Linked DNA regions of Macaca fascicularis. The protein of the gene in region 2 interacts with the protein of the main gene of each other region in a pairwise test. Links are inferred from orthologs where the notes say so. Each region holds a gene or a part of one and is shown on either strand. Other genes may lie near its edges.

Region 1 (4,654 bases), on a different chromosome or scaffold from region 2:
GGGATTACAGGCTTGAGCCACCGCGCCCGGCCGGAAATATTCATTTTTGATCCGTTTGTCATCCAAACCAAACTGTCTGTCCAGAATCACCAGAGCCAGTCCCATCCCCTCCTCACACACCAGGGGGCGCACACGCACTGTTTGTGAATTCAAGTTCAGGACAAAAACAGGCAGTGAAATCAGGTGGTTACCAGAACCTGATCCCTCAGCCCAGATCCCTGAACATCACAGCAACCTTGCCCTGCACATTACCACGTGATCCCTGAATCCAGGCACCTCAACAATGTCCAAATTTTATTTCTCACCTGACTCCAAACTCAGGTGTTATACCAGAAACACCCCGCAGAAGAAACCCCACAGAGGAGAAATGTCATCTCTTCCTCTGCTCAGTTACCTGACCCAGGGCAGCGGGGGTAGGTTCCCCCAATCTTCATGGTGAAGCCTAGCAAGCAGTGGGGGAGAATGGGGGAGTGGGGGGTGGGGGGGGCGGGGCGGTAGATAGGAAAGAACTGGTGTGGCTTTGGCTGACTCTTCAGTAGTTGTAGCATGGATTGCATGGGGGCGGGGTCTGGAGGCAGGGGCTCTTGGGTTGAAGCTCATCAAATCCCTCTCATCAGTGGGTCTTGGAATAAATCTTCAGGTAGGTTGTTGGTTTCACCCAGACATTTCTAGGGTCATCATTTGAGTTTGATATGAGAAGTCAGAAACTCAATACTGAGATTTAAATTTGACTTAGAGGGCATTATCACGTCTTTAATTCCGAGGCCAATGTAAGGTTCACAGTTGGAATTGGTATAATATTGGGGTATTAGCCAGCCTCTGCTTGGGGTTGACACTAGGTCAGAGAAGTGGAGGGTGAGCATGAGGATGAAGGGGCTTTGTGTGGGGTTTCTGCAAAGCCAGTCTCATCTTGGATTCTAAGATTATTATTAAAGCTGGGTTGGTTTAGGGTCCTAAATGGTCTCAAGGTTGGGTGGGGTTTCAGGTCAGTATCTTTGTTTGGGGGTCCTTTTCTGGTGACTCAATCCCAACTCTGGAATTGAGAATCCCAATTCAGAGTGCATTGGTGTTGATCTGGGAATGGGAGAGCAGTACTGGAGTTTTATGTAAGGCTTGGGGTTCAGAAGAGAGAGAATTGGGGTCCATAGCAAGGTAGCTTTTGGACTTTAGGGTTCATTTAGGGACTGGGGGCTGAGCATTAGCACAGGGGTCCATTTAAGGTCCAGAGTTGGTGCTAACATCACTATCAAGGTTAGGGCAGGTAGAGTAATAAAGAGGTTTAGAGTCAGAATTGGTATTTGGGATCAGTACAGAGGTTCAGAACAAAATTCCTACTTGTGCTAATTTGGGGGCAGATTAAGGGCTTTGGATTCAATATTGGGTTTAGGGCAAGGTGTAGACTCAGTATCAGGTTCAGATCTGTATGGGGAGGAAATGCGGTCCTAGAATGGTATTAGGTTCATGCTAGGACTGGGAACCACTAGAAGGATCTGGATGTAGTATCAGAGTTTGGTCTGTCCATGTTCATTATTGGGGTTCGGGTTCAACATTGAGGTTCCGGTCGGTTTCGACTTGGCGTTGAGTTGTGGCCTCTCTGGGCCTCCGCGGCTCCGCGGCTCTACGAGCGAGAGTGCACGAGGGGAGGGGCGGCGCCGGGGGCGCGCACGGCAGGGGCAGGGGCGCGGGCGCGAGCGAGAGGGGAGCGCGCGGCTGGAGCTGGCGCGGGAGCGGCGGGAGCGGTGGCGGCGGCAGAGGCGGCGGCTCCAGCTCCGGCTCCGGCTCGGGCTCCGGCTCCAGCTCGGGTGGCGGTGGCGGGAGCGGGACCAGGTGGAGGCGGCGGCGGCAGAGGAGTGGGAGCAGCGGCCCCAGCGGCTTGCGGGGGGACATGCGGACCGACGGCCCCTGGATAGGCGGTGAGTGACCCCCAGGCCCCCCGCCAGCCCCCTCCGCGCCCGTCTCTTCCCCGTACTCCTTGCCCTCCCCGCTAGTCCACCCGGCGGAGCTGGGGGCGGTCCCGGGGGGACGAGGGCGCCGCTGAGGCCGGGCCGCGCCCCCACCTGCCGCGCCCGCAGCCTCGGCGAAGCCCCCCCCACGCCCCAGCCTGGCGGCTCCTCCCCGCTCACCCCGCGGCAGACGCGCCCCCAGCGCTGCCGGCTGGCTCGCTCCCCGCCGCCCCTCGCTGCCTCCCTCCCTCTCCGCCGCACCTTAGCCGCAGCCCGCCCCCCCCTTCCCCCGCCCAGCGCAAAGTTTCCCGTTTGCGCTCTTGCTCCCCCTCATCAGTCCCGCCTCGTCCCCCCTTCTAGCGCGGACGCGCTCCGGGGGCGGCCCTCAGACCCCTCAGCCCCCGGCTCCGGGCGGGTCCAGGCCGCGCCCCCGCCCCCGCCGCACAGGCGCCCCCTCCCAGCCGACGGGGGATCCGCAGCCGGCGCGCCCGGGTCTCGCTCGCGGCCCCGGCGCACGTGCAGTCCCGGGCTGCGCCGGGCGCGAGTTTGGAGCCCCCCACCCCCTTCGTTCGCGAGCACGGGTTGGGGAGGGGCTGAACGGGTTGTGCCCGCCCCCAACCGGGTGCAACGCCCTGGAGGCCCTGGAGCGACCTGTCCCATGAGGACGTGGCCACTCGGACCCGCTCCGAAAGTTCACTCAGCGGCTGCCCCGCGTCCTGTCCCGAGCCGTGCCGGCTCCCCATCGTCGTGCCCACGTCTCTGTCTCGGCTGCTTTCTGTTTTCCTTGGCGTCTTTGCCTCCCCGTGTCAGTGCCCCTGCAATCCCAGGGTCTCTCCGGCTGTCTCCGTTCTTTTTCCCCAGATCACATTGTTCTTTCTCCCCAGGTCTCTCCGTTCTGTCTCCCTGGGTCATCTTGTTCCCTGTTCCTGAGTCTCTCTGTTCTCTCCCCTTGGGTCTCTTCTGTTTCCTCTCCCTGGGTTCTGTCTCCCTCCTTAAGTGTCTCTCTGCCTCTTGTCTCTCACGCATCTCTTGGTGTCTCTGCACCCTCTGTGCTAGGCGCCCCCCCATTTCCCTGGAATGCTGCCCCTCTGGTTCTTCCACCTCGGAGGGGGAGGGGCTAGACTTTCTCCCCATTTCAAACCCCCCTGCCCCCCAGTGCAGGGCCCCTGAGTTGGAGCAGGTTGGGGGTGGGGAGCGCTACCTGCCTGAGCTGTGAAATGGGAGAGGGAGGCTGCCCCAGCCTGCGGGTTGTCTGGATCTCCCTGAGGGGCCACAGAGCAGGGCCGGGAGGCTGCATTAGGATGAGGAAGGCTCCACTTCTGAAGGAACAAGGGCAGAGATCCAGAGCGACCTGGTGCCAGATCTGGCCTGAGAACCAGGGAAGTGCACTGGGGTGAGAGGCGTAGAAAAGGATATGGGGTGTTGGTTCCAGGCGGGTGCTCATGGGGAGAGATCTGCTGAGAAGGGAAGATCTGATGGGGGATCCTTTGGGAGGCTTCGGGGATCTGAGGGATCCAGAAGAGAGTTCTGACAGGCTATCTAAGGAAATTTCTGTGCTTAGCGCCTTATTAACTCTTGCTTCAGGGAGCATGAAAATCCCTGTTTTTTACTGATTATATGAATGAGCCTAGGGCTCCGAGAAGGAGCAGGTGTAACTCCCCAAGTACAACCCCCTACATTCTCCGCCCCAGGCACAGGCCACAGTCTCTCCTACCCTCTTGCCTTCATTTCCACACTCAGCTCACCCCCCTCCACCCCCCCACACACTCCCTGTTCAGCTGCTTTCTTGACCCCACTCACAAACCTGGACCCGCATGCCGGCCAGTGCTCAAGCAATCTGTGCCTGCACACTCGCAGCACACCTGTGCACATGCACAGTCATCCTTGTGCATTTTTGTATATGCACTTTCTTGCACATTTTACTTGCTCAGTCTCCCTCATCATTTGAAGTGTCTGTATAGTGTTGTGTGTTTTTTTTTTTTAGTTTCTTTTTCCAACTGCTCTTCCTCTTCCCTCTTTCAACAAGAAAATTGTTTTAACATAATTCCTTCCTTTTTCCCTTTCTTCCTTCCTCTTGCAACTACTGATACCTCCCCTTTATCCAGCTTTGTGTGCCCTGTGCAGGTTGGCTTGGTGTACAGGGCTGCCGAGAGAGGAGGGGGTGGTTGGGTGCTGGTGAAGAAATTTGGCGGGGCAGAGTTATAGACTGCAGCAGACGTAAACTAGCAACACATCTTTTGTAGGTAATCGTATTGATATGCAGCAAAATACCAGCCCTGGCAATTTGGGCACAGTCCACCCTTTTTTCCATCAGCCCGAACTATGGGAGTCTAGCTTTAAGGATCCTCACTGGGGGCGGGGAGGAGGGGACCCAGACCTCCTGCAATAGAGGTTGTGATACATACCACGGCTCCTCCACTTTCCAGCTTCAGGCCTCAAAGAGGCCCCTTTCTCCCTGAGTCTCAATTTCACTCCCTGTAAAATGGGGCAGCTAATCCAACCCGGACTTGGTCCCAGGGCTGTTGTAAGAATCCAAGGGAACTGTGTGGCAGTGCATCATCAGCAGTGGCAGTCACTTCCCATGTGACTGACACTGCTGTGTGCTTGGTCCAAGCTTGCAGCCAGGGCCCTGCCCTCGAGAAGCTCGTGGTCCCTGGGGGAGCAGGTTGCACCATGAGAATGCAAAAGCAATTCAGTTACCTGTTATTGAT
Region 2 (3,875 bases):
TCGCAGTATACTCATTGCTGACAAGTATTTCTGCCATTATCACTATGAGAAACTATTTGATCATGGAACAGTGAGGCTGAGTTCTTTCTCAGGTGCCCTTCCTGTCACTTTCTAACCTGCGCTTTGTCCCTTGTCAGGCGCCTCAACCGTGGAACGTCTGCTTTTCAGTGTGATAGTTTGGCATGAGTAATTTCATGTAGGAATTCGCCACAGGAAGAGCATGTGTGTGTGCTGTATCACCTGCTAGGTTCTATTCTTTGGCTATAGCGGGAGATTATGTGGCAGAGATTAACATGCTGAGAATTTTGAAATTCTTTTAAGACCTATCACTTTTATTTTTTATTTTTTATTTTAACTTTTAAGTTTGGGGTACATGCTTAGGTCTGTTACGTAGGTAAACTTGTGTCCTGGGGGTTTGTTGTACAGATTATTTCATCATCCAGGTACCAAGCCTAGTACCCATTCGTTATTTTTCCTGATCCTCTTCTTCCTCCTACCCTCCAGTGTGTGTTGTTCCCCTCTGTGCGTCCCTGTGTTCTCATCATTTAGCTCCCACTTATAAGTGAGAACATGAGGTATGTTGTTTTTCTGTTCCTGTGTTTGCTAAAGATAGTGGCCGCCAGCTCCATCCATGTCTCTGCAAAGGACATGATCTCATTCTGTTTTATGGCTTCATAGTATTCCATGTTGTATATGTACCACATTTTCCTGATCCAGTCCACTATTGATGGGCATTTAGGTTGATTCCATGTCTTTGCTATTGTGAATAGTGCTACAGTGAACATACACATACATGTGTCTATATAATAGAACGATTTATATTCCTTTGGGTATATACCCAGTAATGAGATTTCTGGGTTGGTATTTCCATCTTTAGGTCTTTGAGGAATCTCCACACTGCCTTCCACAATGGTTGAACTAATTTACACTCCCACCAACAGTAGGAAAACATTCCTTTCTGTCCACAACCTCACCAGCATCTGTTACTGACTTTTCCATAATAGCCTTTCTGACTGGTGTGAGATCCTGTGTCATTGTGGTTTTGATTTGCATTTCTCTAATCAGTGATGTTGAGCTTTTTTCCCCTATGACTTTTAGTAGTCACTTTTAATAGTTATCACTTCGCTAACCTTAGTCATTTTATAAATAGGGAACAACTTGAAAATAGTGAATTCTGGGGGTGGAGGACAGGTATTTCACAAGCAAAAAGTTCTGGTCCTAGCCTTAAGTGTTTGATACTGTTTAGTAATCATCTTGCAGACTTCAGGTAGTTGCGTCCAATTAAATTGAACTTGTACTTCTGTTTCCATTTGTCAATATGCCTGAATCTTGTAATTGTATGAGATTTCATCTAACCCTTATCCTAGAAAGTGAGACTTGTATCTCACTACTGTATCCATTGAGAGAGGCCACACCCTGTCCTGTGTAAGACCATTTGTAGCGTGAGGCAGACACAGACTGCGTCGTCTTTGAGGTCACTTTCACCTCCTTGAAAAATATTTAGATATTTGAGTGTATATATGTTTATAATATTATGTAGAAATGGGAAAACTTGGTCAACTGAGTGGCTAGACATAGTATTAAGAGAGACAAGTCTTTGTTAATCGTATAGGTGAATATGATATTTGAGGTAGTTACATTTTCATTCACATTTGAGAAAATTGACGTCGTCTTCAATTTAATTTTGAGGACACTATTTTTTTTTTTTTTTGAGACAGGATCTCTCTCTGTTACCCAGGCTGGAGTGCAGTGGTGCCATCATAGCTCACTGCAGCCTTGAACTGCCGGACTCGAGCAATCCTCCTGCCTCAGCCTCCCAAGTACCTGGGACTACAGGGGCATGCCACCATGCGTGGCTAATTTTTGTTTCTTTAAAATTTTTTTGGCCAGGGATGCTGGCTCACGTCTGTAATCCTAACACTTTGGGAGGCCAAAGGAAGGCCAAGGAGGATCTCTTGAGCCCAGAAATTCAAGACCAGCCTGAGCGACATAGTAAGACCTCTATCTCTACAAAAAATTAAAAATTAGTGGATATAGTGGTATGCGCTTGTAGTCCCAGCTACTGGGAAGATTGAGGTGGAAGGATCCCTTGAGCCTGGGAAGTCAAGGCTGTGGTGAGCCCTGATTGCACCACAGCATTCCAGCCTAGGTGATAGAGGGAGACTGTGTCTCAAAAAATAAAATACAATATTTTTGTAGAGACAAGGTCTTGAACTCCTGGCCTCAAGCCATCCTCCCATCTTAGCGTCCCAATGTACTGTGATTATAGGAGTGAGCTGCTGTATCTGGCCTGAAGATGCTAATTTTTAATTTGATTGGAAATTTGGGATTTAGTTCAGTTTTTTTCTCTCTTAAGTATCTTAATGTGTAATCTGTTAATTACGTACTTTTTTGTCCCCTCTGAAATACTAATTTAGGCCATGGCCCAAAAGGAAGACATGGAAGAGAGAATCACTACTCTTGAAAAACGCTACCTCGCTGCACAGCGTGAAGCCACATCTGTGCATGACCTCAATGATAAACTTGAAAATGAAATTGCAAATAAAGATTCTATGCATCGACAGGTAATGGATTTTATCGATCTTTGTCTGGCTTCAGTTAATTATTAATGAAATTAAAGACCCTTTTTCTCTCACTTTCATGTTGGAAATCAAGTCCAAATATCAAGTTTTTATGACCTTAGAATATTATGTTCAAGATATGTGGGAGTTCCTTCAGTTTACAGGTTTTGATAACGTAGGATTTGATTTAACCATTTTGTCCTCAATTTTTTCTTTTGTTGTAATTGAAAGTTAATCTATTGCTTTTTAGCATTTTTACCAAAGGAGGAGAGAGTGGCAAAGAACTTCAAGGCAACTGGCTATTTGTTACTAAGTGGGAGCACTATGATAAATGAATGGTATGAGAAATAAAGTCTTGGTCAGACGCAGTGGCTCATGCCTGTCATTCTAACACTTTGGGAAGCTGAGGCGGGAAGATCACTTGAGCCCAGGAATGTGAGAACAGTCTGGTCAACATAGCAAGACCCTGTCTCTACAGAAAATTAAAAAAATAAATAATTAGCTCGGCATGGTGGAATGTGCCTTTAGCCCTAGCTACTCAAGAGGCTAAGGAGGGAGGATGACTTGAGCCTTGGAGTTCAAGGCTTCACTGTGCTATGATTGTGCCACTGGACTCCAGCCTGGGCCACAGAACAAGACCCCGTGTCTAAAATAAAAAATGCGGCTGGGCACGGTGGCTCACGCCTGTAATCCCAGCACTTTGGGAGGCCACGGCAGGCGGATCATGAGGTCAGGAGTTTGAGACCAGCCTGACTAACATGGTGAAACCCTGTCTCTACTAAAAATAGAAAAATTAGCTGGGCATAGTGATGCACATCTGTAATCCCAGCTGCTGCTCAGGAGGCTGAGGCAGGAGAATCGCTTGAACCTGAGAGGCAGAGATTGCAGTGAGCCAAGATTGCACCACTGCACTCCAGCCTGGGCGACACAGCTAGACTCCGTCTCAAAAAAAAAAAAGGCAATGAAGTCTATAGTAAGAAATTGTGTCTCCTGTGGTTTCGTTAAACCATACTTACTCTTGTAAGAGTATCACTGTACTCCAGCCTGGGTGACAGAGCGAGACTCTGTCTTTAAACAAAAAAAAAAAGTTTCTTAGAAGTTATTTAGGAAGAGCAAATACTTTGGCAAGAGGTGTTTTGCACATTGAAACGAAGCCCAGGAAAGTGGGCATGTACTCCAGGCAACAGGAAAATTTGACCCAGGCCAGGCACAGTGGCACACACGTGTAATCCCACCACTTTGGGAGGCTGAGGCAGTTGGATCACTTGAGGTTAGGAGTTCACGACCAGCCTGGCCAACATGCCAAAGCCCTGT

What was found.
Region 1: the proteins of PPFIA1 (region 2) and PTPRF interact in a two-hybrid assay, tested with the Homo sapiens proteins (2 studies listed by BioGRID). The link is inferred for Macaca fascicularis from reciprocal best matches to the Homo sapiens genes PPFIA1 and PTPRF.

Annotation. Positions count from the first base shown.
Region 1 is NC_088375.1:191,242,356-191,247,009, reverse strand, and holds the start of PTPRF (receptor-type tyrosine-protein phosphatase F), read left to right. Parts: upstream 1-1,729; 5' UTR 1,730-1,885; coding exon of another isoform or gene 1,886-1,913; intron 1,914-4,654. UniProt on the Homo sapiens protein: Possible cell adhesion receptor. It possesses an intrinsic protein tyrosine phosphatase activity (PTPase) and dephosphorylates EPHA2 regulating its activity.
Region 2 is NC_088388.1:4,342,030-4,345,904, reverse strand, and holds part of PPFIA1 (liprin-alpha-1), read left to right. Parts: intron 1-2,417; coding exon 2,418-2,564; intron 2,565-3,875. UniProt on the Homo sapiens protein: May regulate the disassembly of focal adhesions. May localize receptor-like tyrosine phosphatases type 2A at specific sites on the plasma membrane, possibly regulating their interaction with the extracellular environment and their association with substrates.